4 linked regions of the Elephas maximus indicus genome follow. The protein of the gene in region 2 purifies or fractionates together with the protein of the main gene of each other region. This does not show direct contact. Links are inferred from orthologs where the notes say so. Each region holds a gene or a part of one and is shown on either strand. Other genes may lie near its edges.

The links.
Region 1: the proteins of MYCBP (region 2) and SPAG5 purify together in Homo sapiens (co-immunoprecipitation; 3 studies listed by BioGRID and IntAct, with this or other methods). This does not show direct contact. The link is inferred for Elephas maximus indicus from reciprocal best matches to the Homo sapiens genes MYCBP and SPAG5.
Region 3: the proteins of MYCBP (region 2) and ARFGEF1 purify together in Homo sapiens (co-immunoprecipitation; 4 studies listed by BioGRID and IntAct, with this or other methods). This does not show direct contact. The link is inferred for Elephas maximus indicus from reciprocal best matches to the Homo sapiens genes MYCBP and ARFGEF1.
Region 4: the proteins of MYCBP (region 2) and ARFGEF2 purify together in Homo sapiens (co-immunoprecipitation; 4 studies listed by BioGRID and IntAct, with this or other methods). This does not show direct contact. The link is inferred for Elephas maximus indicus from reciprocal best matches to the Homo sapiens genes MYCBP and ARFGEF2.

What each region holds. Positions count from the first base shown.
Region 1 is NC_064837.1:23,292,536-23,299,852, forward strand, and holds the start of SPAG5 (sperm-associated antigen 5), read left to right. Parts: upstream 1-4,313; 5' UTR 4,314-4,376; coding exon 4,377-4,427; intron 4,428-4,678; coding exon 4,679-4,804; intron 4,805-7,317. UniProt on the Homo sapiens protein: Essential component of the mitotic spindle required for normal chromosome segregation and progression into anaphase. Required for chromosome alignment, normal timing of sister chromatid segregation, and maintenance of spindle pole architecture.
Region 2 is NC_064821.1:80,558,820-80,566,206, reverse strand, and holds the start of MYCBP (C-Myc-binding protein), read left to right. Parts: upstream 1-4,376; 5' UTR 4,377-4,400; coding exon 4,401-4,484; intron 4,485-4,679; coding exon 4,680-4,752; intron 4,753-7,387. Other genes in the region: GJA9 (gap junction alpha-9 protein), read left to right, coding at 1,252-2,778. UniProt on the Homo sapiens protein: May control the transcriptional activity of MYC. Stimulates the activation of E box-dependent transcription by MYC.
Region 3 is NC_064833.1:75,191,132-75,198,691, forward strand, and holds the start of ARFGEF1 (brefeldin A-inhibited guanine nucleotide-exchange protein 1), read left to right. Parts: upstream 1-4,549; 5' UTR 4,550-4,754; coding exon 4,755-4,878; intron 4,879-7,560. UniProt on the Homo sapiens protein: Promotes guanine-nucleotide exchange on ARF1 and ARF3. Promotes the activation of ARF1/ARF3 through replacement of GDP with GTP. Involved in vesicular trafficking.
Region 4 is NC_064843.1:20,611,545-20,618,410, forward strand, and holds the start of ARFGEF2 (brefeldin A-inhibited guanine nucleotide-exchange protein 2), read right to left. Parts: upstream 3,003-6,866; 5' UTR 2,819-3,002; coding exon 2,698-2,818; intron 1-2,697. UniProt on the Homo sapiens protein: Promotes guanine-nucleotide exchange on ARF1 and ARF3 and to a lower extent on ARF5 and ARF6. Promotes the activation of ARF1/ARF5/ARF6 through replacement of GDP with GTP. Involved in the regulation of Golgi vesicular transport.

The sequences.
Region 1 (7,317 bases), on a different chromosome or scaffold from region 2:
AAATGTAACTCTAACCTAAAGTCCTTTATCATATGTTGATCTGTTCATTTGTTCACTGATTTAACAAATTGGTAATCTCAATTCCTTGGTTACTTCTTTAAAGAGCATTTTCAACATAGAATCTCGTCAGCTTTTTAAAAAAATGAAGCAAGATCATATTCACTGGTTCCCTTTTATACAAATGCATTATTAACCCCTGGGAAGAATTCTGATAATCAGTAATGATTTTCTATTTACAAAAAAGCATGCTACATTTTACCTAAAGGCCCATTTTGCTTATATTCTGAGAATATACACATCATTTCAGATTTCACTGTAAACCATGAGTTTTGCCGGTTTACAGAGCCCTACTGATTAGCAGTGGTCATATTGCTTCCTTTGTTCAACACTCCATCATACACAGCAGAAGAGGTAATAATTCCACAGTTTCTTCCTTGAATTCACTCAGAACGGTCTGGTGGACACTTCTCAGTTTTGCTGATTTGGGTTATGTAGTTGGATTTTTATAAAACAAATATCTAAACCTAAAATTAAAAAGCTATAATTGTTAAATTGGGCCCTATCTCTCATATAATGTGCAAAAATTAATTCTAGATAGATTAAACACTTAAATGTTATACATTAAAATGCTAAAAATCTCAGAACATCTGGGAGACTAGACCTACAATAAAGAAATGGAGGAGATACCTAAACCAAGACAGAAAATGAGAGAGTTATAAAAGACATTTTCTAAGAAAGACACATTTAACTACCTAAAAATTCGATGAATGACTCAATCAAGACAAGAAATCCAAGTACTTTGGAAGAAAAGATAAACATTTGACAGCATAAAAATTAAAAGCCTTTGTATGGCCAAAACCAAAACCAAACCCAACCTGATGCTGTCAAGTCGATTCCGACTCATAGCAACCCTATAGGACAGGGTAGAACTGCCCCATAGAGTTTCCAAGGAGCACCTGGTGGATCTGAACTGCTGACCTTTTGGTTAGCAGCTGTATGGCCAAAGGAACCATTAATAAAGTTAATGGACAAACAATAAAGAAAAAATATTAGCAGTGTGATGACAGAGTTAATGTCCATAGCACAGAACTCTTAGTTAGAAAAGAAAAACAACCAGTGTTTTAAAAGGGCAAGGAAATGAAGTGACAATTAATTAGATCTCTGTCAGTTGATAGAGACTCTTAGAAGACTCTATATAAGACACAGAGAAAAAAAATGATTCCATTTTTAAAAAGGACTCAGTTACTTTTCCCTCCCCTGTGTGTGTGTGAGAGGGAGAGGGGAGTAATTCGAGTGGAAAGAGGAGAGGGAAAAATAAAAGAAAATAAAGGCTTGCACTACTAGTCCTTAATCCCAAAGACCCCAGTAGACACATCAATTAATTTTTGAGGGAAAAAAAAATACAAGTGTTTGTGTATATACATAAAGAAATTATAAAGAATTAGAGCTATATTAAATGACAGGAATTTCTAAGATAAGTAATATATTTATTTACAGAGCAAAGTGTAATCATACTTGACTAAAGACAAATGACTGTATGTGTTTGTATAAAGGTATACACACCATTGGTTACCTCAAGAGGGTAGAATGGATAGGGGAGGTTTTGGCTTTAATACATCTTTGCATTGTATTATTTCACTAATAATAATAAGGATCTATTACTTCTATAATTTCAAAAATACCAAATTAAAGAAGTTATTATGCAAAACAACATCAACAAACTAATTTGGTTTATGTTACCTATCACTCACAATGGCATTTTCCCTCTCATCTACCCCTCCATGTCCCTCTTAATTTTCTGATGGAAGCACCATATCCCTTTGGCTACCTACCTGGTAACATATCAACTACAACAAGGACTGTGCATTCTAATTCACACATTTTTATGATACCAGGTTTTACTACTGGCACTTAAGTTTTCTGTCTTGGCTTTTCTGCTACTTTCCACCCTTATATTATTTCCTGGGTCATTCTCACTGACCAGAAGTGCAACTTGGAATTCCCTCTGCAGAGTCTTGGGGAATCCCAGGCTCAAGTTCATCCTCTTACATTCTTTCCCCCAGTTTTCAATTCAAGCAACTGTTACCATCTCTAGTGCCTGCAGGTTGGGACCATTAAGTTTCTAGAGCAGTGCTGACCAACAAAACTATGATGCAAGCTTTGGAAGTTACTTTAAATTTGCTAGTAGTGACATTTAAAAAGCAAAATTAATTTTAATGTCTTTTATTTAACCCAGTATATCTAAAATGCTATCATGTCAAGATGGCTTCAATACAAAAAATGAGATTTTAAATTATTTTTTTCACACAAAGTCTTCAAAGTCTAGTGTGTACTTTAATCCTACTGCACATCTCAGCTTGGACTAGCAACATTTGAAGAGCTTAACTGTCACATGTGGCTACTGGCTACCCTAATGGACAACACAGTTCTACAGAAGCCTATCACCTAAGGGCCCTGCAGTTTATAATATAGTTCCTCCTCCCTGGATAACTGTCTTGTCCAGGTTCATTAAGACTTCTAGAGTGTAAATAAAGTGCTGTGAGTGGAACAGATATTCTATCATAAACTATAACTCTGAATATTTACCTTTAGGCTGTTTCCAAAAATCAATTCCACTTTCAATTTCCCACACAGAGGGGATTCAGGAGGCAGTAGAATGCCCTATTTGGTATGTGGGTTGGAATCTTGGCTCTGCCATTTGCTACCTGTGGGACATTGAACAAACTACATTAATCTCTGTATGACTTGGTTCCTTTGCCTGTAAAATGGGAATATTTACAGTACCTACTTCATAGGTGGTCAGTGGCAGAATTCTCACCTTCCATGTGTTGGATTCCCAGCTGTCATGGATTGAATTGTGTCCCCCCAAAATATCTGTCAACTTGACTAGGTCATGATTCCCTTGTATGATTGTCTACCATTTTATCATCTGATGTGATTTCTCTATGTGTTGTAAATTCCATCACTATGATGTAATAAGATGGATTAGTGGCAGTTATATTGATGAGGTCTACAAGATTAGGTAGTGTCTTAAGCCAATCTCTTTCAAGATATAAAAGAGAGAAGTGAGTATAGAGACATGGGGAGCTCATACCACCAAGAAAGCAGGGCTGGGAGCAGAGTGCGTCCTTCGGACCTGAGGTTCCTGCGCTGAGATGCTCCCAGACCAGGGGAAGACTGATGCCAAGGACCTTGCTCCAGAGCCGACAGACAGAGAAAGCCTTTCGCTGGAGCTGATGCCCTGAATTCGGACTTCTAGCCTACTGGACTGTGAGAGAATAGACTTGTCTTTGTTAAAGCCATCCACTTGTGGTATTTCTGTTATAGCAGCAGTAGGTGAGCAAGACACCAGCCAATGTAGCCACCAACCATCTGTCAGTGGAGGCTTTCCTGTTGCTTATGATGCTGAACAGGTTTCAGCGGTGCTTCCACGCTAAGGAAGAAAGGCCTGGTGATCTACTGAAAACCAGTCAATGAAAACCTTATGGGTCACAACGGTCCAATCTGCAATGATCAGTGGTCATGGGGATGGTGCAGGACGGGGCAGCATTTTGTGTGGTTGTGCATGAGGGTCGTACCTCAAGGCCACAAAAGCTAACGACTTCATAGGTCCTTCTGAGGATTAAATTAGTTAATACACATAAAGGATTTGGAACCGTGCCAGGCACATACTAAATGTTCAATACATGTTAGTTATTATTCCAGTAAACTTGTTGCAGGCCCTGAGGTAAGTCCCTAGAAAATACCAGAAATTCTGAAGCGGCTTTACAGCCGAGGGGCCACATTCTGGTTGAGAACTACCTCTCAGGCCATCACGGACACAGGACCTATGCGCGGACCGGCCAAGCCTCAATAAAAAACACTCCTCCGCTCACCTCTCCCTGACCACCCCCGGCCGGCTCTTTCCCGTCAAGATTGAGGTGGGGGGGTAACTGGGGACACCTGAGGAAAGACCTGCTAAGTCTAGGTCATGGAGACAACTTTTCTGACCGGATGTGAGGGTGGTCCACTAGAAGCAGGAGGGATGGACTCCTTGACTCTCCAGCTGCCCACAGCACCTTCCCTGAGGTGAGGCCACTAGGTGGCCTCGGGGCTGGCGCGGGCCCAGCCGCCCCGGCTCACGGAGGTGAGGGACGATCCCAGAGGGAAGCGCGCGCGAGCCCGGGGGCGGGCCGGGTCTGGAAGGGGCGTGACCAATTCAGGAGGCCCCGCCTACCCGCCCGCCGGGCTGGAGCCTGGAGCGGACGTGCCCGCCTGACGCACTTCGGCGCCGCAGCCAATCGAGAAGCGCGGAGCAAGTTCAAATAAAGACGGCGGGTGAACATGGCGTCTTTTCCTGGGTCTGGGTGGTGATCAGCCTCTGTTCTGCTCCGAAGATGTGGCGGGTGAAAAAACTGGACCTCAGTGCGTCGGCTTCGCCGCAGCCGGTGAGCAGAAGAGTCTCGGAGAGAGAGAACTGGGCTAGGGCTACTAGGGCGGGAACGCTGGCAGAGCCTTGTGTCCTGGATAGCTGGGTCAAGGCTGGGAGTGGAGGGGGGCGTGTGCAAGTCGTTCGTCCTGCCGCTTCAGCGGGACTGGTGACGGAGCCTACTCTTTCTCATCGCCTGAGGCTTCTAAGGGAGGGAGGGCAGCTAGGCTGGCAGAACCCGTGCTTTCTCACACTTGCTTTCTTTCTCAGGGAAAACCAGCTATGAGAACTCCCCTTCGAGAGCTTAACCTGCAGCCTGGTGCCCTCACCAGCTCTGGTAAAGGCCCCCCTGTGCACTCCTCACTCACCCCATCACTGCGCAAGCTGACGCTACAGGTGAGAGTCACCGGGACAATTTCGCATTTGGGCTGTTTGCCCAGGCCGAGAGCTCAAAGGAACACAGGTCCCGGGTTGGAACGTAATTAATAACGATAATGAAGTTTTCTACCTCAGTGACATCCATTTACAGCTATTCAGGCCAACAGAGAGGTGCCCTAGGGTGGTTAAAGGAAATTCACTGAGAACCTAAACCTCTATTTAGCTGTTAGTTTTTATCACCTCTTCCAAACTACTGAGAAATACTTTCAGCCTGGTTAGTGGTCTCCCTCTTACATAAGCTGGAGAGTTGACCTGCTGCAGCAGTGAAACGATATCCATTTACTCCTCGAGGTAGTCAAATGTTCTGCGGTCAAGTTACATACCACGGGAAATTAGAGTACTTGAACTACCTGATTTTAGCCCCTTGCAGAATTGCCCTCAGTGAGATGTGCTTTTGTCAAAGGTCTTGAGAGAAGTAGCCGTGTACAAACTACTTTTTACTTACTTTAAAAACTTTTCATGGAATGAAATTTACCCCTTTATAAGATCCCTAAGGAACCCTGGTGGTGCAGTGGTTAAGAGCACCGCTGCTAACTGAAAGGTTGGAGTTCAAAACCACCAGCCACTCTAAGGCAGAAAGATGTGGCAGTCAGCTTCTGTAAAGATTACACAGCCTTGGAAACCTTATGGGCAATTCTGCTTTGTCCAATAGGGAAGCTATGAGTCAGAATCAACTTGATGTCAACAGGTTATAAGGCTCCTTGCAGAAATTTCATTTAGAACTCATTGCCTGGGAAGATGGTCTTTACAGAGAAATCGTGTAAGTACCCTTTTCCCTTTCTGATAATGAGAACTATGTAGTTTATCATATTTCCCCTCTTGCTGTAGTTTCTAGAAAGCTCAGGATCAAATCTGATGATCAGGTATTGTTGTTATTGCTTGGTGCCGTTGAGTTGGTTCTGACTTGTAGACAGAGACCCTAGAAGACAGAGTAGAACTGCCCCATAGGGTTTACAAGGAGCGGCTGGTAGATTTGAACTGCTGACCTTTTGCTTAGCAGCTGAGCTCTTAGCCCCTACACAATCAGGCATAGCTACTGTTAATCCCTGAAATTGGAAGATTTGCCTCCTTTTTCTTCTTTGACCATGACTTCATATTTCAGTATTCCATTAACTTGATCTGTCTATCCTTTTCATGCAGTCTGAATTATTTTTGGAAGGAAATGGGGTATAAATACAGTAGATTAGAGGAAGGAAGAAGAATATATAAAAGCAGATGACAACCTGCATGTTTTAGTTTCTTAATGTTGCTATAACAAATATAGTACTGGTATAAAGTGGGTGGCTTTAATGAACAGAAATTTATTTTCTCAGTTTGGAAAGCTAAAAGTCTGAATTCGGGTTGCTGGCTCTAGGGGAAGTCTCGCGCTTTGTCTGCTCTGGGGGAAAATCCTTATCTCTTTCAGCTTCTCTTCCTTGGTTCCTTGGTAATCTCTACATGGTATCAATCTTTCTCCATTTGTGCTTCCTTCTGTGCCTAATGTGCTCTTTTTATATCTCAAAAGTGATTGGTTTAAGACATGCCCTACACTGGACATGGCCTCATTAACATGACAAAGAAAATCCTATTCCCAAATGGGATTACATCCACAGATAAAGGGATTAGGATTTATAACACATTTTCAGGGGACACAGTTCAATCCATAACATTCCACCCTTTGCCCTCCCACAAATTCATGTCCTTTCCACTTGCAAAACACATTCCCCCATCACATCATCCCAAAAGTCTTATTCTATTCCAGCATCAACTCCAAAACCATATCTTCTGGATCATCTAAATCAAGTATGGGTGAGACTTTGGGTGTGTTCTATCTGGGGTAAAACTCCTCAGTGGACTTATGAAACCTAGAATACAAGTTATCTACTCCTAAAGTACAATAGTGGAACAAACACAGGGTAGACATTTCCATTTACAAATGGGAGAAATTGAAGGGAAAGAAGGGCTCATGGGCACCAAGCAACTCCAAAACCCAGCAGAACAGATTACATTAGCTGTCAAGGCTTGAAAATAATCCTGTGTTCTCCGGGATCATTTGGGCAAGGGCCCTGCCCTCCAGACTTTGGGTATTGGCCACACTTTCTATATCCTGGGTGGAGGCCCCTTATCCTGGAGCTAGCTCCACCTTCCTGGACCACCGGAACAGCAACTCTGGTCCCTCGGCTTTGGGCAGCCCCATTCTCCTAGTCCATCTGAGTGGTGACTCCACCTTCCTGAACTGAGATGTGGAGACTGGACTCTTTGAAACCTAGGAGGCTGTAGCTCCACCCTTTGAAACCAAGGCAGTCCTCCTTTCTATAATTCTTCCAACAGCTCTGCCTGTATCTGAACCACTCCAGAGATGGTCCTTTTCTTTTTTTGGAGGACAACAAATATTTGCAACCAAGTAGCTCCACTGGGCTATTTCCTGCCTGTATAATTTCAAGAGCCAGACACCTTTCCTTCGTTTTGTCCTGTCTCTGTCCCCTTCAGTT
Region 2 (7,387 bases):
TTTCTTTGAGAGCCTAGGATATCAGTTTTAATATGAACCTCCTCGTAGCTAAATTATAACCTGCCCCACTGCCCCTTCCAAAATAGAAAGCTACATGTTTTAAGTAGATCAAATATTGTTACGAGGAAAATTTCTATAGTACCACCACTACACCCGGGTCCACTTATTTTAGGTAATATCTAATAGCATTCTGTTACAACAAAATAGTTAGAATTTCTGGAATTCGTTTTAACATGGTAAAACTTTCCAAAGATTTTCATTGCAAAGTATAATAAGAATTTTATAAATATTCATAAATGTTACTAAAATGGATTTCTGGAAATGCTCAACATCTGCCAGAAAGAAATCAGAATTTAAACATTTAAATGTGGATTTAAAAACTAATCAAAATTCCTGCAGCAAGAGCCAGATCTGTCTCCTCTGGTTTTATTAAATGCTGTCTCTTACTGAATTAATCAAATTCATTTTCCTTTGTGTATAAATGAGATTTAAAAATCACTGACTTTGGTTATATAACATAGTCCCTGGGTGACACAACTGGTTAACTGCTTGACTACTAACTGAAAGGTTAGTGGTTCAAACCCACCCAGAGGCACCAGGGAAGAAAGGCCTGGCAATCTGCTTCTGAAAGGCCACAGCCTTGAAAACCTTGTGGGGCAGTTCTGCTCTCCACACACAGGTTGCCATGAGTTGGAACGGACCTGATGGCAACTAACAACAACAACATAATCTTAGTAAATACGTTTGTAAGATTAAGCCAGTCATTTTAGGAAAACTCTACAGCTTAGACAAAGAACAAACTTCCTATCAGCCAAGTAAGAAGACTTTTTTTTTTTTTTTAACAGAAAATCTTACAATTCTATTCTTAGTAGAGAATGTATACGTACCTCGCCCAGGTATCACTTTTTTTTTTTTTAATTGCATTATTAGGTTGAAACATGAGTGATTTTAAATTCCTGGCTTATCTTAAATATATTCCTGGTAACATTATTAGTGCAGGACAGAGCAACTTTTCTTTCTGTCATATATAAGGTTGCCATGAGTCGGAGCCAAGTCTATAGCAACTAACAACAACAGATTGTCACTGCTATCTAGGGAAAAAGTAAGCAACCAGCACACTGTAAGAATGATGCTTTATTCATCTTTTGGCCATAGGTTTGCTTTAAGGAACAGCGCTCTCTTTAGAATGGAAGAAATCTACTTGTCTCCTAATTGGTGGGGTTCAGGCCTAAGATGGCTGACTAAATAAACATGGGGGACTGGAACTTCCTTGGAGGTATTCTGGAGGAAGTTCACATCCACTCCACCATGATTGGAAAGATCTGGCTCACCATCCTGTTCATATTTCGAATGCTTGTTCTGGGTGTAGCAGCTGAAGACGTCTGGAATGATGAGCAGTCTGGCTTCATCTGCAATACAGAACAACCCGGCTGCAGAAATGTATGCTATGACCAGGCCTTTCCTATCTCCCTCATTAGATACTGGGTTCTACAGGTCATATTTGTGTCTTCACCATCTCTGGTCTACATGGGCCATGCTTTGTACCGACTGAGAGTTCTGGAGAAAGAGAGGCAGGAGATGAAAACTCAGTTGAGAAGAGAACTGGAAGAGGTTGAATTTGAAGTAACTGGGCATCGGAGGAGACTGGAGCAGGAGCTTTGTCAGTTGGAGCAAAGAAAACTAAATAAAGCTCCGCTCAGAGGAATGTTACTTTGCACTTACGTGATACACATTTTCACTCGCTCTGCGGTTGAAGTTGGGTTCATGATTGGACAGTATTTTTTATATGGATTTCACTTAGAGCCTCTATTTAAATGCCATAGCCACCCATGTCCAAACACGATTGATTGTTTTATCTCAAGACCAACAGAAAAAACAATATTCCTATTGTTTATGCAGTCCATAGCCACTGTTTCACTTTTCTTAAATGTTCTAGAAATTGCTCACCTAGGTTTTAAAAAGATTAAAAGAGGGCTTTGGGGACAATATAAACTGAAGGATGAACATAATGAATTCTTTGCAAACAAATCAAAACAAAATCCTACCAAATATAAGAGCGTATCTGCAAATTCACTGAAGGGACTCCCTTCTGCACCTGATTATAACCTGTTAGTGGAAAAGAAAACACACAAAACAGTGTATCCTAGTTTCAATTCATCTTCTGCATTGCAGGTAGACCCTGACAGTTATAGTGGAAATGAGAAATGCATTTTGGATGAACAGGAAACTGTACTTTCTAATGAGATGCACACAATTAGTACTACTGGTAGTCATCTTCAACACATCAGCTCAAATAATGATGGAACTCATAAAATATCTGGAAAAGATGTGGATGACAACCAGGTAAAGGAAAGAAGAGAAAACTTTGGCACAGACAGTGAAAGGTGCCATTACTCTAGAGGTGTTTCTGTAGATTTGGAAAACCACGTGTCACAGTCACCCCAAAAAGTTTTCTCTCTGCCAGCTAACTGCAACTGGAAAACAAAGAGGCTTAGTGCTACATGGAGACCCTTTACAGAGGATCAAAACCAGAGACTACCTCCTAAAGGTAGCCTCCAGGGCCTGTTTGGAGAGGGCACCATCAGAACCCTTCCTCCTTTACAGGGAGACTCCCAACCACTTGACATTCCAGGCACTCCTGACTCTTTGGGAGAGTTGTCCTTTGAGACTAAGTTTGTCAGAACCTGCAAAAATCCTAGTGCTTATCCTTCAAATCATTTAGTGTCTCTGACAAACAACGTCATCGGTAGGCGGGCACCCACAGACCTTCAGATATGAACAGCTTCTGGCTTTTAGACATTGTGCATATTACATTACAGAAGTGGCCTAGTGGGGATGGAGCAGGGAGAATATAGGGACAAAGACAGCTCTGAGGACCAGCTGTTAAGACAACTGTAAACTCATTTAAAAAAGGGAAACAAAAAAACCACCTAATGTGTTGCTAAGGAGTAGATTCTGACTCATGGTGACCCCGTGTGTTACAGACAAGAACTGTTCAATAGAGTTTTCTTGGACAGAGCAGAACTGTTCAATAGGATTTTCTTAGCTGTAGTTGTATGAAGGCGCCCTGGTGGTACAGTGGTTAAGAGCCCAGCTGCTAACCAAAAGGCTAGCAGTTTGAATCCACCAGCTGCTCCTTGGAAACCCAATGGGGCAGTTCTACTGTGTCCTTTAGGATCACTACATAATCGACTTGATAGCAACGGGTTTAATTTTGGTTTTCAGTCTTATGAATGGAAATCATCAGGCCTTTTCTTCCACAGCACCGCTGCTGGGTGGGTTCGAATTGCCAACTTTTAGGTTAGCAGTTGAGGGCAAACTACGCCACCCAGGGACCTTCAAGAAGGGAAAAACAGCTCTAATTCTGAGTTGTGAAAGGATAGTTTAAATTCAAAAACCTAAAATTACCAAATCAGGCATGGTTCTCATCAGAATGTGTGAAAACAGATTTTAGGAAAATCAGTGTTCCGAATGGAGGCCAAATGGTTTGGAACCAGGTTTTCTCCTTGAAAGGACCACAGCCTTAGGAGGCTGTTCTTGATCAATGTAATTGCTCCTTTTAGTTATTAATCTTTTAATTCTGAACACTGGGTAAATTTTCTTTGCCTCTAAGACTTCTCAGTTTCCTTATAGACTGCAGCCTGATGTGTCTTGAGAATAACCATTATGCTCCTACGTAGTAAATAAAATCTTAAAAAGACTGGTGGCTTTTCTTTTACCAGCTCACCTATATATAGCATCATGATTAAAAGAGAGTTCTGGAGCTAAGTACCTCCTTTACTGGGATGTTGTGAAGACTGAAATAAACACGTGTTTAGTACAGTGCCTGGCACACAGTAAGCCATTAAAATTGCTGGCTATATTATTAGCATATTACTACTCACCTTCCAGAGGCCCAATCAAGTTAGCCACAGAAACAAGGAGAAACCAAACGTAAAGGAGGCGTCAGAGCATACGATCCTAACCACTCCCCTCAAGCCAACTGAAATCCCAGGGTCGCTGTGCATCTGTCGCGCCCACAGGTTACCACGGGTTCCAAAACCCCGACAGAGAAAAGCCTGCCCACTCCCGGTGCCGTGCGCCCCCCCCCCCACGGCTCCCAGCACCAAACCTCGAGGGCTCCGCAGGCACCGCCCCCGGACGCCACGCCCATCTCGAGCCCCACCCGGACACTGGTCCGGAGTCACCGTAACCTCGTCTCTCGCTAAGCAACCGAATCGCTGTGCGGACCGGAAGAAGAGGCGCTGCTTTGATAGCGACAGGGGCGGGCATACGCAGCCTCCCTCCGCTCAGTTCGCTGTAGGAAACTCAGAGCGTCCCGGTCGCCATGAAAACAGGCCACACCCCGACGATCCCCCGCCGCGTTTCGCAAGTGCGCAGGCGCACGCGCCCTTCCGCGCATGAGCGGTGCTGACCAGAGCCCGCCAGCCACGGTCTCGGGCGCCAGCTACGCCGCTGCGGCTGTCACTATGGCCCATTACAAAGTGAGGGGGCGCGGCGTGGCTGGGGGCGTGAGGGCGGTAGCCAGCCGCCGGTCGGCTACCGGTGGGAGTGGGGACGCGCGCAGATTTTGGGGGGCCTGAAGTAGCGAGGCGGAGGTGGGGTTACCGGACTCCCAGCGCCCTCTTCCTCCTCCGGCCCCTGTGGGCTTCGGCCACTGACCCGCCGTGTCTTCTCAGGCCGCCGACTCGAAGCGCGAGCAGTTCCGGAGGTACTTGGAGAAGTCGGGGGTGCTGGACACGCTGACCAAGGGTGAGCATAACTAGGAGAGGGCTCCTCGTGCCCTCGTCGTGCTCGTGGCGCTGCGCCCCTGACGGGCGGTGGCGTGGAGGAGGGAGAACAGGTGGAACCCGTCCTGGGTCCAGCAAGGTGGGCTCCGGGGTTCCGCGGGGATCAGCACACGCCGACTGCCGGACGCCGCCCTGGTGAGGGTAGCCTCGCTCATGTTACCACTCTCCGGGCCAGGGAGTGAAACTCTTGCAGCTGTTGCAAAGTCTCTCCAACTTCCGTTGCTTTGCTTCTAGCGCCGCAGTGGGCGTGATTGTAAAAGACCTCGAACTCCGGATACCTCCCGCCTTGGTTTTTGTGAAGTATCAGAATCTTGTTGAGAAACATTTTCCGTCGAACCAAGGGGCAAGTGGGAAAATTGGCAGATTTAAAGTGAGCTATGATGAAGTAGCTGAGCCTAATCCCCATGGTAGGCGATTCATAGCCAATTTGGTTGTGGCTTTTCAACGCCGATTTCTTAGTCTCTATCAATTCTTTGTGCAGATTTCAAAATTAAAGTAGAATTAAAGTTTAGAGTTTGAGGGCACATCAACATGGGTTATACTGTTTTCACTTCTTAAAAACGGAAACTTACTTTCACACTGTATCTCTTCGTCCAGGCGTACAGAATCTAAGCAGACAAGGCGCTTGAAACAGGAGGTTTCCACGATAGGGTACTGTTTACTTCATTCAACTAGTTGCTGTCGAGTTGATTCTGACTCCCCACGTGTCAGAGTAGAACTGTGCTCCACAGGATTTTCAATGGCTGATTTTTCAAAAGTAGATCAGGAGATGTGTCTTCTGAGGTGTCCTGATTGGACTGGAACCCCCAACCATTGACAATTTGCACCGCTCAGGGACTCTGCTTACTTCATTAGCTCAGCAGTAATTTGAATGCCTGGTATGTGTCACTAAACTCACTGGCTGGGATTTTCAAAGGTATAGAATGGAAGAGCTGGAAGGGATGAGGATCTGGGTCCATATGAAAAGAATAGGAAGTGTTTGAGAAATAATTTGGTAACTGTTCCTTGGGCAAAAGCAAAGGTTAGGGGAAAACTCTGGGAGAAAGATAATTCTGAGTCTTAGCAGAAAGCAGTGTTTTTAATTACCATGCATGGGCTAGAAATTTTGAGTTGCTACCTATCCTGGGCTCACATGCTAGTTTCCCAATCTTTTTGCAAATAAATTTCAGCAAACATTATGGGGAGACACTGGTGGCACAGTGGTTAAGAGCTCGACGGCTAACCAAAAGGTCGGCAGTTCGCTCCTTGGAAACCCTATGGGACAGTTCTATTCTGTCCTACAGGGTTGCTACGAGTTGGGGTCAACTCCACAGCAACAGGTTTGGTCTGTGAAAGTGTTGCGCTATGTTGTCTCTGGAAGTGTCACAAATGCTTGGAATGCTGTCAACACCCCCCTCTTGAAAATCTCCACAAAATCGTTTCTTTCATTTATTTAGTAACCACTTTATTGAAGTTTCTGTTTCAGGCACTGCAGATATTCAACTGCCCTCCAGTTGAATTTGACTCAGAATAACCTGGGGATAGAGCAGTGGGAAAAAAAAGTTCCTGCTCTTAGGAGTTTATATTCTAGTTAGGAGAGACAGATAATAAATGCATAGTGTCAGCTGCTGATAAGTGTTATGAATAAGAACATAGCAAGGTAAAGAAAGGCATGAAGAGTGATGGGTGGAATGTGTGTGCCATTTCATACAGGGTGGTGGGGGAAGGCCTCTCAAGAAGTATGAACAGAGACCTGAATGAAGTAATACATGTCAAGAGTTCCAACAAGGAGGCCAGACTGGCTGGATAGAGTGAGTGAAAGATAGAATGGTAAAAGAGAAGTGATGGTTGTGGAAGGTGACTGCACAGATGTACAGCCTTGTGGCCATACAAGGATTTTGCTTTTTAAGAAATCAGAAACCACTGGAGGCTTCCTTTCCCTTGTTCACATCCAGTGGAATCTAACCCCTCCATCTCCCTAGATCTCCAGTCTCCTAAATAATGTCAGGCAACTTAACATAGTGTCCATTGATATGGCCTATCTAAAATTTGATTTTCAACCCCAAACACTGGTATTTTGTACAGGTTTTATGTGTAATTTTTATCCAGTTTATTTCCAAGAGGATTCGACATTGCTTATAACATTAAAACACTGTAAGACAGTGTCTTAGTTGTCTAGTGCTGCTATAACAGAAATACCACAAGTGGGTGGCTTTAACAAACAAATTTATTTTCTCAGTTTAGAAGACTAGAAGTTTAAATTCAGGGTGCTGTCTCTAGGGGAAGGCTTTCTCTCTCTGTCCGCTCTAGAGGAAGGTCCTTGCCTCTTTAAGCCTCTGCTCCTTGGCAGTCTTCTTGTGGCTTGATATCTCTCTTCCCCCATTTCTGCTTGCTTCTCTCTCTAATCAGCTTGGTTTGTATCTCTTTTATATCTCAAGAGATTGACTCAAGATACACCCTACACTAATCCTTCCTCATTAACATAACAAACACACCTGTTCCCAAATGGGATTGTAACCACAGGCATAGAGGTTAGGATTTACAACATGTATTTTTGGGAGACATAATTCAATCCATAACAGACAGGATGGTTAAACATAAAATTCGATGATAAATCA
Region 3 (7,560 bases), on a different chromosome or scaffold from region 2:
GGCCCCAAAACAGTTAAATGGGGAAAAGACAGTCTTTTGAACAAATGGTGCTGGCATAACTGGATATGCATCTGCAAAAAAATGAAAAAAGACCCATACCTCACTCCATGTACAAAAACGAGCTCAAAATGGATCAAAGACCTAAATAGAAAATCTAAAACGATAAAGATCATGGAAGAAAAAATAGGGACAACGTTAGGAGCCCTAATACATGGCATAAACAGTATACAAAACATCAAAAAGAACACAGAAGAAAAACTAGATAACTGGGAGCTCCTAAAAATCAAACACCTATGTTCATCCAAAGACTTCACCAAAAGAGTACAAAGACTACCTACAGACTGGGAAAAAGTTTTTAGCTATGACATTTCAGATCAGCGCCTGATCTCTAAAATCTACATGATACTGCAAAAACTCAACTGCAAAAAGACAGATAACCCAATTAAAAAATGGGCAAAAGATATGAATAGACACTTCACTGAAGAAGACATTCAGATAGCTAACAGATATATGAGGAAATGTTCACGATCATTAGCCATTAGAGAAATACAAATCAAAACTACAATGAGATTTCATCTCACTCCAACAAGGCTGGCATTCATCCAAAAAACCCGAAATAATAAAGTTGGAGAGGCTGTGGAGAGACTGGAACACTTCTACACGGCTGGTGGGAATGTCAAATGGTACAACCACTTTGGAAATTGATTTGGCACTTCCTTAAAAAATTAGAAATAGAACTGCCATACGATCCAGCAATCCCACTCCTTCTAATACATCCTAGAGAAATAAGAGCCTTTACACGAACAGATACATGCACACCCATGTTTATTGCAGCACTGTTTACAGCAGCAAAAACATGGAAGCAACCACGGTGCCCATCAATGGATGAATGGATAAATAAATTATGGTATATTCACACAATGAAATACTACCCCCCCCAAAAAACCCAGTGCCGTCAAGTCAATTCTGACTTATAGCGACCCTATAGGACAGAGTAGAACTCCCCATAGAGTTTCCAAAGAGCGCCTGGTGGATTCGAACTGCCGACTCTTTGGTTGGCAGCCATAGCACTTAACCACTACGCCACCTAATGGAATACTATGCATCTATAAAGAACAGTAAGGAATCTGTGAAACATTTCATAACGTGGAGGAATCTGGAAGGCTTTATGCTGAGTGAAATTAGTCAGTTGCAAAAGGACAAATATTGTATAAGACCACTATTATAAGAACTTGAGAAATAGTTTAAACTGAGAAGAAAACATTCTTTTGTGGTTACGAGATGGGGGAGGGAGGGAGGGTGGGACAGGGGTACTCACTAACTAGATAGTAGATAAGAACTACTTCAGGTGAAGGGAAAGGCAGCACGCAATACAGGGGAGGTCAGCACAATCGGACTAAACCAAAAGCAAAGAAGTTTCCTGAATAATCTGAATGCTTCGAAGGCCAGCGTAGCAGGGGCAGGGGTCTGGGGACCACGGTTTCAGGGGACATCTAAGTCAATTGGTATAATAGAATCTATTAAGAAAACATTCTGCATCCCACTTTGAAGAGTGGCATCTGGGGTCCTAAACGCCAGCAAGCAGCCATCTAAGATGTATCAATTGGTCTCAACCCACCTGGATCAAAGGAGAATGAAGAACACCAAGGACACAAGGTGATTATGAGCCCAACAGACAGAAAGGGCCACATGAACCAGCGACTACATCATCCTGAGGCCAGAAGAACTAGATGGTGCCTGGCTACAACCGATGACTGCCCTGACAGGGAAAACAACAGAGAACCCCTGAGGGAGCAAGAGAGCAGTGTGATGCAGACCCCAAATTCTCATAAGATCAGACTAAACGGTCTGAGACTGGAAGGGCCCCGGTGGTCATGGCCCCCAGATCTTCTGTTGGCCCAGGACAGGAACCGTTCCCAAATCCAACTCTTCAGACATGGATTGGACTGGACAATGGGTTGGAGAGGGATGCTGGTGCGGAGTGAGCTTCCTGGATCAGGTAAACACTTGAGACTATGTTGGCATCTTCTGCCTGGAGGGGAGATGAGAGGGTGGAGGGGGTTAGAAGCTGGCGAAATAGACAGGAAAAGAGAGAGTGGAGGGAGAGAGCGGGCTGTCTCATTTAAAAAAAAAAAAAAATTTTTTTTCTAGCAAGGCGTATATGGGTTTTTGTGTGAGAGACTGACTTGATTTGTAAACTTTCACTTAAAGCAGAATAAAAATTATTTAAAAAAAAAAAAAAGAGGACTAGGATGGGATGGTAACACCCTCACCAGGTTGCATCCCTGATCCAACGTAGAAGGAGTTTCCCTGTGGTGTCGCTTGTAGCTTTTATCTTACAAGAGATAAAAGGAAAGGCAAACAAGCAGAGAGCGGGGGACCTCATAACATCATGAAACCAGTGCCTGGAGCAGAGCTTGTCCTTTGGATCCGGGGTCCGTGTGCAGAGAAGCTCCTAGTCCAGGGGAAGATTGTTGAGAAGGCTGACAGAGAGAAAAAGCATTCCCTGATGCTGACACCCTGAATTTAGCCTACCTTAAACTTCTCTTCGTTAAAGCCAAAAAAAAAAAAAAATTATTCGTGGCTTGTTGTTTTTCATGTTTCATCTTTAAACGTCCATAGTTGTCAAGGTCTGTATAAACCTCTTTTGGAAGACATTTAAATATAAATATTGTAATTTACTTCCAAACTTCTAAAATACATTTCACATATTGGTATTACTTGCATAGCTATTTATTGGTCCTCTTTTACTTATATTTAATGTCAAATCAGTAAAGAAATCACGATTTTATGCTTTCTGATTTTATGCTTTTCATGATCATCTCTCCTATTCTACAGATGAAGCTGGCAGGCTAACTGATATGCTCAAAATCACGCTGCTAGGATGTGGTAGATTCAGGGCTAAAATCATTGCTTTTTCCACTGTGCTTCCCTCCTAACTTGATGGTACAATTGGAATTGGCTTTTATACGTGTTTTCTAATTGATATAAATATTAGCTCCATTTTGCTTTCTGTTGATTTGCTATTTGTAAATATATTTATATGTGTTATTCCTTAACAAAACTAATCAATCCATGGATTTGCTTTTCAGGACAGGCAAGTTTTAAAAACCGATTTGTCCACTTCATCTAATTCGGGGTCACCTTCAAGTTTTCTTTTTTATGTCCCATGGTTTTTAGCCTGTCCCAACTCTTGTCATTTCACAGCCTCTCCATTCTTGGGTTTGGATGGTTGCATCAGGAGCAAGTCCATAGTCAAGGCAATCAAACCAACCGAATAAGGAACCCTGTGTGGATGAAGTCACACAGCAACCTGGAACTTGGTAAGAACAGATTTCAGCTTCTCATCGAAGACTTGCCCCTAAATCACCATGTAAGTCGTCTGCATACATTTTTATGGTATTCTTTATAATTTTCACCTCAGGAAGAAACACGAAACACGGTAGAAATTTGAATTCCTTTTTGGTACCAAGCATACCAATGGGCACATTTGTGTGTGCGTGTATGTATACAACTAAAGAAAGACATAAATCTTTATTTGTATATCTGTTTGTATTTAAATCTCTTCCATTCTGAAAATGCTTTTGATTTCTTGGACTGAATCTCAGTATTAAAGGTACAGAAACACTCTAAGGGACCTTATCAATCATTTACGTTTGCTTAACTTCAGACGCAATTCAGAAGGACCTGAAATCTGGAGTTTAAAGGTTTATTCTACAAGATAGAAAAGTGAAACAGTCCTGAATCTTTGCGAATTGGTTTTAGTTTACTCTAAGAGAGAATCCGCCCTAAGGCAGTCGGAGGGGCATTGTCCTGGACAGCAGTTTCACGCACTTGCAAACGGAATTTAGAGTCGAGCATTTGGAAACACAGTGGGGCTCAGAACGGACGAAACTGGCGTTTCTGTGACTCCCGTAGGGAAAGGGGCTGCACTCCGACCAACTCCAGAGTCAGCGACGCCGGTGCAGCAGGGAAAGCAGCTCTGCTAACTCCGCAAAAGCAGAGGTGCGGGGGGTTCCCATCCCCGCAGAGTCGCTGGGAGGAGCCCGAATCGCCCGCCGCGGCGCCGCAGGACACCCGCCACGCCCCACGCCGCCCTGCGGGCGAACGCGGGAGACGGCGCGGCCCCATTGGGCCGCCGTAGCGCTGAGGCTCGGGCCGCTCCTCCGCGCCGTCCTCCGCCCCCAGCCTCCCGGCGCCGCGGCAGCTCTGGCCTGGCAGCGCCACCGCCGCTGTCGCTTCCTCCTCTGTAGCCGTTCGGCCGCTGCGTGACGCGTCGTTTCCTCCCAACATGGCGGCCGGGGCAGGTCGGCGGTGATGGAGGCCAGTCCGCGGCCGCGGCGGGTGCTGATCCCCACAGTAGCCACGGCAGCCCTGCCGTCGCCGGGCCTCTGAGCCCTCGCCACTGTCACCGCCTCGGCCCTCGGTCCCCGGCTGACAGCCGCCGGGTCCGGGTCCCTTGCCGCTGCCGGGCCGTGGGACGTGTGAGGGGGGCGGCTGGGAAGCGCCCACCGGGCCGGGAGAAGCGGAGTCCCCTCGGGGCGCGGGCCTCTCGGGGGACGGCGCAGACTTGGCCCGCACGGCGGCTGGCCCCGCTCCCCCGCCCCTTCCTGATCCTGTCTCTGCCCTCCACGCCTCTCCCCCACCTCCGCCCTCCTTTCTCTCTTCCCTTCCTCCTCCTCGTTCTCCTTCTCCTCCTCTCCGGCCGCTGGGAGCCGCGGGTCGGACTAGCCGCCGCCGCCTTCTCTGCGTCCATGTATGAGGGGAAGAAGACGAAGAACATGTTCCTGACCCGGGCGCTGGAGAAGATTTTGGCCGACAAGGAAGTGAAGAAGGCGCATCACTCCCAACTGCGCAAAGCGTGCGAGGTGGCCTTAGGTGAGCGGCGAGGAGGCCCCGGGACTGGGGGCGGGGGGGGGGCGGGTGGGGCGGCTGGCGTGGCGACCCCCGCAGAAGGTGGAGTCGACCCGGGAGCTCGGCCGGGGCCCGCGCTGACATCAGGGAGCCCTCGCGAAGCTCTCTGCTGCCTGGTTGGAGTTGACAGTAACTCGGCTGGATGTGGGGCAGAGGCAGGGTGGCTGGGCTCGGGGGACGCGGCAGGTTCAGGCGCCCGGGTTCCAGGGAGCCGCTCGAGTGTATGACAGGATTTTGTTGGTGAACGGTGCGGTGCGGACGGAATGCCGCCCTTTGTGATGGAGCACAGATGAGCTGTTGTTGATTAGCTTGGAAATTGAAGTGGAGCTGATATGTTAAGATCGGGTACGTGGGAAGGATTCTGCATCGTAATTACGATAACTTTATCGTTCAGCGTGTTACTTTGGGAAGATAGACTGAAGTTGTTCCCTTGCTGACAGCCTGAGAAGGGGTTTTGCAAGAGGTGCAGCTCGTTCTGACATCTCTCCGCCTCCGCCACAGGAAAAACAGTAATGTTGTATATGACTGGGCTGACCTGGAAGAACAAGACCAGAGGTTAAGGGGTGGGGGTGGCGGTGTAAGAGCAGGGAGTGAAAGGACCTTTAGATAAGCTGACTTTAGGTGACAAGAGAAGGGAGGGGTTGAAATGAGAAAAATGAAAAAGACAATGACACACACCAGCCACATGTCTGGACAGTGGCAGCTGCTTTCAAGCTTGAATTGTAATTTATAGTTCAAACGGAAGAGATCTAGTGTAATAAAGCCTGTAACAGGGTAAATCTAAACAATACCTATAGGGAGGACATGCAGATAAGGCACTGTTAAAAGGCGGAACACTTATAGATCTGTTGCATCCATCAAAGATGAAATCGTTTAAGGAGACACCAGGACAGTTAGCAGAGATGAATTCTAATGCTTAGACATTATTTTATAGCGCTGGAAATAGACTAGGTCAAATTAATGAGAAAATGAAGCTTCTTAAATGGGATGACAGGCTTTGGAAAACAGCGTTTTTTTTTTTTTTTTTCTTCCAATTGTGCTTTAAGTGAAAGTTTACAATTTAAGTCAGTTTCTCATACAAAAACTTACACACGTGTTGTTATGTGACCCTAGTTGCTCTCCCTAGGATATGATGGCACACTCCTCCTCTCCACTCTCTATTTCCCCTGTCCATTGAGTCCACTCCTGTCCCCTTCTGCCTTCTCATCTCTCCTCCTGACAAGAGCTGCCCATTTAGTCTCCTGTATCTACTTGAGCCAAGCAAGAAGCACACTCTTTACCAGTATCATTTTATGTCTTACAGTCCAGTCTAATCTTTGCCTGAAAAGTTGGCTTACGGAATGGTTTTAGTCCTGGGCCAACAGAGAGTCCGGGGGCCACGTCCTCAGGGATCCCTGGCTTCTGGAATGGTTTTAGCTCTGGCTTAACAGAGAGTCTGGGGGCCGCATCTTCAGGGATCTCTCCAGTCTCAGACCATCAAGTCAGGTCTTTTTACTGGAATTTGAGTTTTGCACCCCACTTTTCTTTTGCTCTATCAGGGACTCTCTGTTGTGTTCTCTGTCAGGGCGGTCATTTGGTGGTAGCCGGGCACCATCTAGTTCTTAGAGTGTCAGGTGGTTTATGGAGTCTCTAGTTTATGTGGCCCTTTCTGTCTCTTGGGCACATATTTTCCTCATGCCCTTGATGTTCTTCATTTTCCTTGCTCCAGGTGGGTTGGGACCAATTGATGAACCTTAGATGGCTGCTTGCTAGCTTTTAAGACCTCAGACGCCACCCACCAAAGTGGGATGCAGAACATTTTCTTAATAATCTTTGTTATGCCAGTTGACCTAGATGTCCCTTGAAACCATGGTCCCCAGACCCCGCCCCTGCCACTCTGTCCCTCAGAGTGGAAAACAGCATTCTTAAGGGTGGGGCAGGGTGGCATCCAGAATAATTTCAATTTATGCTAAAGTAGAGAGTCAGGATTGTTTAAAAGCAGTTTTTCCTTTTAATTATAAGAATAAATTGAAGACTACAAGTTAACTTGCTATAATATACTATATTGTTTGTTTTCTTCTTTTTTAGATCCCTAAAATTGGTGATATTAAAAAATATTGTTGAAGACCTTTCATCTTCAAATTTTTGACTCTGTAGTATAGTGGCCTTAAGTTTAGCTTTCCGCCCCATCATGGATCGGAAGTTCACCTTTGACTTGTTTTGTAGCTAACAAAAGGTGGTTCCAGATGTGCGAGAAAACAGTTGTACAGTGGTAAAAATTGAATTTATATCTGGGTCCTGAAAGGGGTAATTATTAAATTATTAATTATTAAATTGGGGTGAGCTGAGGGAGGGAGTGATTTTAGGATTTTTAAAAATATTGCTATACAGTGTAGGTTTATGAATAACTTGCAGGTTTAAAAACTTGAGGTTAAAACTAAAGTTTTAGTTTGTGAGTTTATTTTTTCCATGTTAGAAAATACTCTTCATATACTAAATTGTAAGTATCTGACTAAATTACCATAGTATGTTGTGTGTGTGTGTATATATATGTATTTTTTTCCCCTCCCTGAAATGATAATGTAAGTAAGTGTGTTTGAAGAGAGAGCTCCCTGGATTGAGAACCTGGGATCTTGAGTTTTAATCCCAGTTTCAATGCATTGCAAT
Region 4 (6,866 bases), on a different chromosome or scaffold from region 2:
AGCTAACAACAGCCCATTTCTTACAATTCACTACTAACACACTGAAAGTGCATGCATTCTACAATTTTGGTTGGAAAGATATGAACTTCTGAACAAAGTTATATCTATCTAATAAACTCTCAACATTACGGCCCTTTACGACCCATATGGCAATTTTAAAAGAAAGTTCCAACAACATGACATACAATTTGGTGGAGATTTTATGTTAAGTTTTCTGAAAGGGGAATGAAAACATTTCTGCCAAATAACTATTTTGAAACTTCCACAATACTCTTTAAGTAATAATATTGAGAGGACAGAGTTCAGGCAGATTTCAAAGTGGTTATAAACACTAGACTTCTGCCTAACTAACAAACTACTTTTTAGTGCTTAGCCTGCATTCTTATACAACAATATCCAACAGTTGGCCTTGGTTGTCTGAATAGAAAAGCTTTAAAAAAATCTAAATCTTGGTAAATTCCTACCACTGATCCTGAATTTCACATGGGGTCACTATGACTCAGAATTGATTGGAGGACAACTAACAACAAAAACCCAACTATTTCCAGATTATCTGGACAACAGCAGCCTCTATATCAATAGTTCTTGACCCCCGAGGGAGTCTCAGACCCTTCTGAGAATCTGATGAAAGTTTTGGACTCTCTTCCCTGAGATGAGCAATTTTCACAAGCTCATTCCTAGCACCCAAGAACCCCAGCTCTATACCTTGCACCAAATGAAGGGAGAAAGGTGATGGCAATATCAAAATCTGTGACAAAAAAATAAAAACTTGCACGTGCTCAGTCAATTTGTTAAAGAGTCCAAACAAAGGCACTGCAGTGGTGAATTAGCTTGAAGACAGCTCTGTTCAATGTATTGATCCCACTGCCCTAAACTCTTCTCCTGAAACTCCACATGGGATACTTCTTGCCTTTCAGTACTAAGCTCAAATGTCACCTCCTCTGAAAGGATAACTTTCCTGGAGGCCCAATTTAAAGAAGCCCTCAGACCCTCTTTACCACATCTCTTTTATTTTCACAATAGTATTTATTACTATCCAAAAATACTTCATTTATTTTCTTATTTACTTTAGGCTCTCTTATTAGGATCTAATGGGGCAGTTCTACTCTGTCCTATAGGGTCCCTATGAGTCGGAATCCACTAGATGGCAGTGGGTTTGGTTTTTTTTTTTTTTAGAGTCAAAGCTTTGCAAAGTGTTAAAAAGCAAAGATGTCACCTTGGGCAATAGGGCGTGCCTGACCCAAGCCGTAGTATTTTCAATCACCTCATGTGCATGCGAAAGCTGGACAGTGAATAAGAAGACTGATCAAGAATTGATGCCTTTGAATTTTGGTGTTGGTGGAAAATACCTAATATACCATGGACTGCCAGAAGACAGAACAAGTCTGTCTTGGAAGAAGTACGGACAGAATGCTCCTTAGAAGCAAGGATGGTGAGTCTTCGTCTCACGTACTCCGGACATGTTATCAGAAGGGACCAGTCCCTGGAGAAGGATATCACGCTTGGTAAAGTAGAGGGTCAGTGAAAGAGAGAAGACCCTCAACAAGGTGGACTGACACAGTGGCTGCAATGATGGGCTCAAGCATAGCAACGATTGTGAGCATGGCACAGGACCTAGCAGTGTTTTGTTCTGTTTTACAGAGGGCTGCTATTGAGTTGGAACCGACTTGGCGGCACCTAACAAGCTTCAAAAGGGCAAGGATCTTGTCTGTCTTGTTTCCCAGTGCCTACAACAGTGGCTGGTACACAGTACGCATCTGATAATTATTTGTTCCGTGAACAAAACTAAAAGATAGGATGTTGATGCTGGTCTCAGCTACCAAGAGTTTTAACTAGCTATGAGTTAGGGTTTCTCCCTTTTCCATAATCTGCAGTCCATTCAATCGGCAAATATTTAGTGAGCATATGCTGTGTGCCAGGTACTGTTGCAAGTGTGGGGGACATAGTGAATAAAACAAATATGTTTGCCCTCACTGACCCTACATTTTAGTGGACCAACAAGAATAAGCAGTTCTCTTGCAACCCATAACACCTGGGAGCTATAGAATAAATCTCTACATTCCTTCCTTGAGGTAAAGAGCTATGAACGGATTAAAAAACAAACAAACCCACTGCCATCGGTCAATTCCGACTCATAGGACCCTACAGGACAGGGAACTGCCCCGTAGGGTTTCCAAGGCTGCAATCTTTACGGAAGCAGACTGCCACGTCTTTCTCCAGCGAAAGAGATATGGGAGATCACCAAATAAAAGGAAAACATTCTCCAATCGGGCACTTACAAAACGAGCCTCAGGGGTTCCCCCGAAACCAGTTGGACAGCTCTTCCCACCTATATTCTGCTCACCTGGGGGAACCCGAACCGGTAAAGCCCAGGTAAAGAGAAAACTTGGGGCAAGGGCTGCTACTTTTGAGGACTTGGGGTGGTGAGGGGAGGAACCAGGAAACAGGACAGCGAGGAGTCGTGGCAAGAGCCCTGGGCTGGGAGGCTGGAGAGCCAGCTCTGACTGTCCCCAACTTGCTAGGTGACCTTGGGCCAATCCTGAGCTTCCCCGACATCAGTTTCCCCTGGGGATATAATGAGTATGCCGAGAGGGTGGGATTCCGGGCCCAGGGGCGGGGAAAGCGGAAACAAGGAGGCCGACTGAGGCCCGGTGGGGTAACGGCCGGCGTGGGGCCGGGCCGGGGCGGCTCACCCACCGAGCGCCACCTGGCAGGCCCTGCGCAGCTGGGAGTGCTGGGGCCGCTTCACCTCCTTGTCGGCCAAGATCTTCTCCAGGGCCCGGGACACGAACATGCTCTTGGTCTGGCTCTCCTGCATGGCCCCGGCCCGGCGGGGGCTCGCAGCCCCGCGGACGGGCGGCGCGAACGAGCCGGCGAGCAAGGCTACGGCCCCGGCGTCCCGGCCGGTACCGGCCGCGTCCGTCTGCACCGCCCCGTCAGGGAGCGACGCCGCGGCCCCACGGCGCCGCCATGTTGGAGCGCGTCACGTGACCACGTGACGGGCGGAGCCGCTAGGGCTGCCGCGCGTCTGTCGACCCCGTGCCCTGACGGGGCGGGGCCTGATGCTGGGGGCGGGGCGGGGCGGGGCACGATGGGAGGGCAGGGGAGGGGCTGAAGATGGAGGGAGGAGGGAGAAAAGGCGGTGAGAGGGAGTAGAAACCTGTGAAGAGGGGACGCGGGTCGGGGGGAAGAAAGGAGAGGGAGGAGAGGTGGTGATGGGAAGAGAAGAGCTGAGGAAAAAAGGCAGTGAGGAGGATGGGCCTGGAGATGATGGGGTTAGAGATGAGGAAAGAGAGATGAGAGGGAAAGAGGAGGTGAGACGGAAAAGAAGAAAGGAAGGCGAAAAGAGGGAAGTCTGGAAAAAAGAATTGGTGCGGGAATGAGATAGATGATAAGGGGCAAAAGGAAGAGGTGTGGAGAAAGAGGAGGTGAGGGGGAAGATTGGAAGAAAGAATTGGCGGGGGAGTGAGAGTTGATGAGGGAGTGGGAGGAGTTGAGGAAAGGGGAAGCAAAGAGAGGAAGTGAGGGATGAGGGGAGGCATGGAGGTAGAGAAAGTGAGGGGAAAGAGGAGGTGGAGATGGGAGAGAGGAGGTGAAGGAGTAAGAGAAGGGCTGAGGGGAGAGAGGAGGTAGAGAGAAGAGTCTAGGAGAAGAGCAGAGAAGAGGAAAAAAGATGAGGAGAAGGGAGAGAGAAGATAAAGGGAAGAGGGAGGAAGTTAGGAGAAAAGGGGAAGAGGAATGAAATGGAAAAAGATGATGTGAGGGGGAGGCAGTGAGAAAGAATGGAAAGAAAGCACACTCGGAAATGGAAAGAGAGAAGGAGTGAAGGGAAATAGGAAGTGAAAGGAAGGCAGGCAGAGAAAAGGTGTATTTGTGGACAATTTCCAGAAACAGTATTTTACCGTTCCCATCTGCAAAACACACAGCATCCGCACAACCCTCCTGTGGCCATGGCAGAGCCAGCTCCTGGTATCCGGCTCACTTGTGTTTATTGCGCGCCACGTCTGTGCCTGGTGCTGCCAGGAAGGTCTCACTGCCAGTCCACCTCCTTTTGGAGTTTATCTGGTCTATTTTCATAAACCTGTGATTCCTTACAATGCTGCAAGCAGGCCGGGAGTGTTTCCTACGTTTGACAGAGGAAGAAACGGAGCTCACCACTGATACCACAACAGCCAGTAGTGATGTCCCTGGGCCCCTTCACACACCACCCACCTCTGCCAAGAGAAACTGTGTGGCTGCTGGGACTCATACGAGGTGAGGCCCCTTCTTATAACCCTCAGAAACCTCCATGTGAGTGAGGTCAAATCCTCAGGTCTCAGCTCAGACATCTCAGGGAGACCCTTCCTGACTACCCAGCAGAAAATAGCCCCCCCTCCCTATTTTAGGAAACCCTGGTGGCATAATGGTTAAGTGCTATGGCTGCTAACCAAGAGATCGGTAGTTCAAATACACCAGGCGGTCCTTGGAAACTCTATGGGGCAGTACTACTCTGTCCTATAGGGTCGCTATGAGTTGGAATTGACTCGACGGCAGTGGGTTTGGTTTTGGTTTTGGCTCCCTATTTTATGATTTTTATAGCATTTTTCTGATTTTTTCTTTTTTTTTACTTGTTGACTTTTTTGTTGTCTACTAGAACGTAGGCCAGGGAAACTCTGGACTGTATCCCCAGAACCAGGTAGAATGTTTCCTGGTCATAAATTCCATTGCTTTGAAATGTGACTTTGCAGGTCCTTTCATCAGGTGATGGAGTCTATTTCTCCACCCCTTTAAGTCTGTTCTACCCTTGTGATTTGCTTTGGCCTATAGGATGTATTTGCTCACTACCATCTTCCCCACGTAGAATGCAAATTCCATGAGCTCACAGCTCTATGCCAGAGTCCATCGTACTTACGGAATGAATGAGTAAATGGAGGGGGCTGGATTTAGGTCCACGGGATTTAATCTTTCAATCAGCAAGTTATTTGTGGGGTACCTTCTATGCTTTTGTGGGGTACACAATAATGACTCCCCAAAGATGTCCACATCCTAATCCCTAGAACCTGTTACTTTACATGGCAAAAGAAACTTTGCAGATATGATTAAGTGAAGGATCTTGAGATGGGGAAAGTATTCTGGATTACCAGGTGGGCCCAGCATAATCACAAAGGTCCTTATAATAGGGACCCTGAAGGGTCAGAGTTGGAGAATGGGACCTGATGACCAAAGCAGAGGTCAGAGTGATGTGGGGCCATGGGCCAAGGAATGTGGTGGCCTCTAGAAGCTAGAAAAGCATAGAAGTGGATTCTACCTTAGAGCCTCCAGAAGGAACAAAGCCGTATTGACCCATTTTAGACTTTTGGTCTCCAGAACTCTGAAAAAATAAATTTGTGTTGCTTTAAGCCACTAACTCATTGCCACTGAGTCATTTCAGACTCATAGCGCCCCTATAGGATGAGTAGAACTGCCCCATAGGGTTTCCAAGGCTGTAATCTTCATAGGGAAACCCTGGTGGCATAGTGGTTAAGTGCTACAACTGCTAACCAAGTGGTTGGCAGTTCAAATCCACCAGGCGCTTCTAGGAAACTCTATGGGACAGTTTTACTCTGTCCTATAGGGTCGCTATGAGTCATAATCGACTCAACGGTAGTGGGTTTTGGTATAGTTTCCAAACTGGGTTGGCACAAGGAGCTTCAGCTTTGAAATCCAGCATGTCAAACCTCAACCCCACCATTCAGTATGACCTTGGACAATGATTTTATCACCTTGAACCTCAATTTCCTCATCTGTAAAGTGGGTAATCCTAACTGTAACTTGTGAAAATCAAGTGAAATGATGCATATAAATCATGTACCTGCACTACCAACCATTCGGACCAGACACACAATTGATGACCCTGGATAGAATGGGAGAAAAATGTAGAACAAAACTCAAATTCCTAAAAAAGGGCCAGACTTACTCAACCAGTAGAAACTAGAGGAAACTCCGAAACTATCACCCTGCGTTAGCCTTTAAACGTGGAGCTCAATCCACTCCTGTGGTCACCTCTCAGCCGAGAGAGAGACTGGCTCATAATACTACCACCCGTGAGTGCTGTGCTTCTTTAAACAAGCATATAAATGATACCTAACGGTTAACATTTACCCTAGACCAAAGATGAGACGATAAGGAGGGACAAGGAAGCTAGATTAATGGAAATGGAACAACCAGAATGGAAATACTGAGAATGACACATTGTGAAATGTCTCTGAATAATATGTACGGAAACTGTTAAATGAGAACGTAATTTGCTATGTAAATTTTCTCCAAAAACACAGTAAAATATTTTTTTAAGTATTTTAAAAATATATTTTTTAAAAAGACCAGACTTAGCGGTCTGACTAAGGCTAGAAGGACCCTGGTGGTCATGGCCCCCAGACCTTTTGCTGGCCCAGGACAGGAACCACTCCCGAAGCCAACTCTTCAGACATGGATTGGACTGGACGATGGGTTGGAGAGGGATGCTGATGAGGAGTGAGCTTCTTGGATCAGGTGGACACTTGAGACTCTGTTGGCATCTCCTCCCTGGAGAGGAGATGAGAGGGTAGAGGGGGTTAGAAGCTGGCGGTATCAACACGAAAAGAGAGAGTGGAGGGAGAGAGCAGGCTGTCTCGTTGGGGGAGAACAATTGGGAGTATGTAGCAAGGTACATATAAGTTTTTGTGTGAGAGACTGACTTGATTTGTAAACTTTCACTTAAAGCACAATTAAAAAAAAAAAAAAAGTGCCCTGGCCACTTAAAATTGTTCTAAGAGTTCAGGGCCTGGCAAACTTCCCCAGGTCTGTCCTAAATTACTAACCAAAAAAAAAAAACAAACAAGCCAGTTGCCCTGGAGTTGCTTCTGACTCAT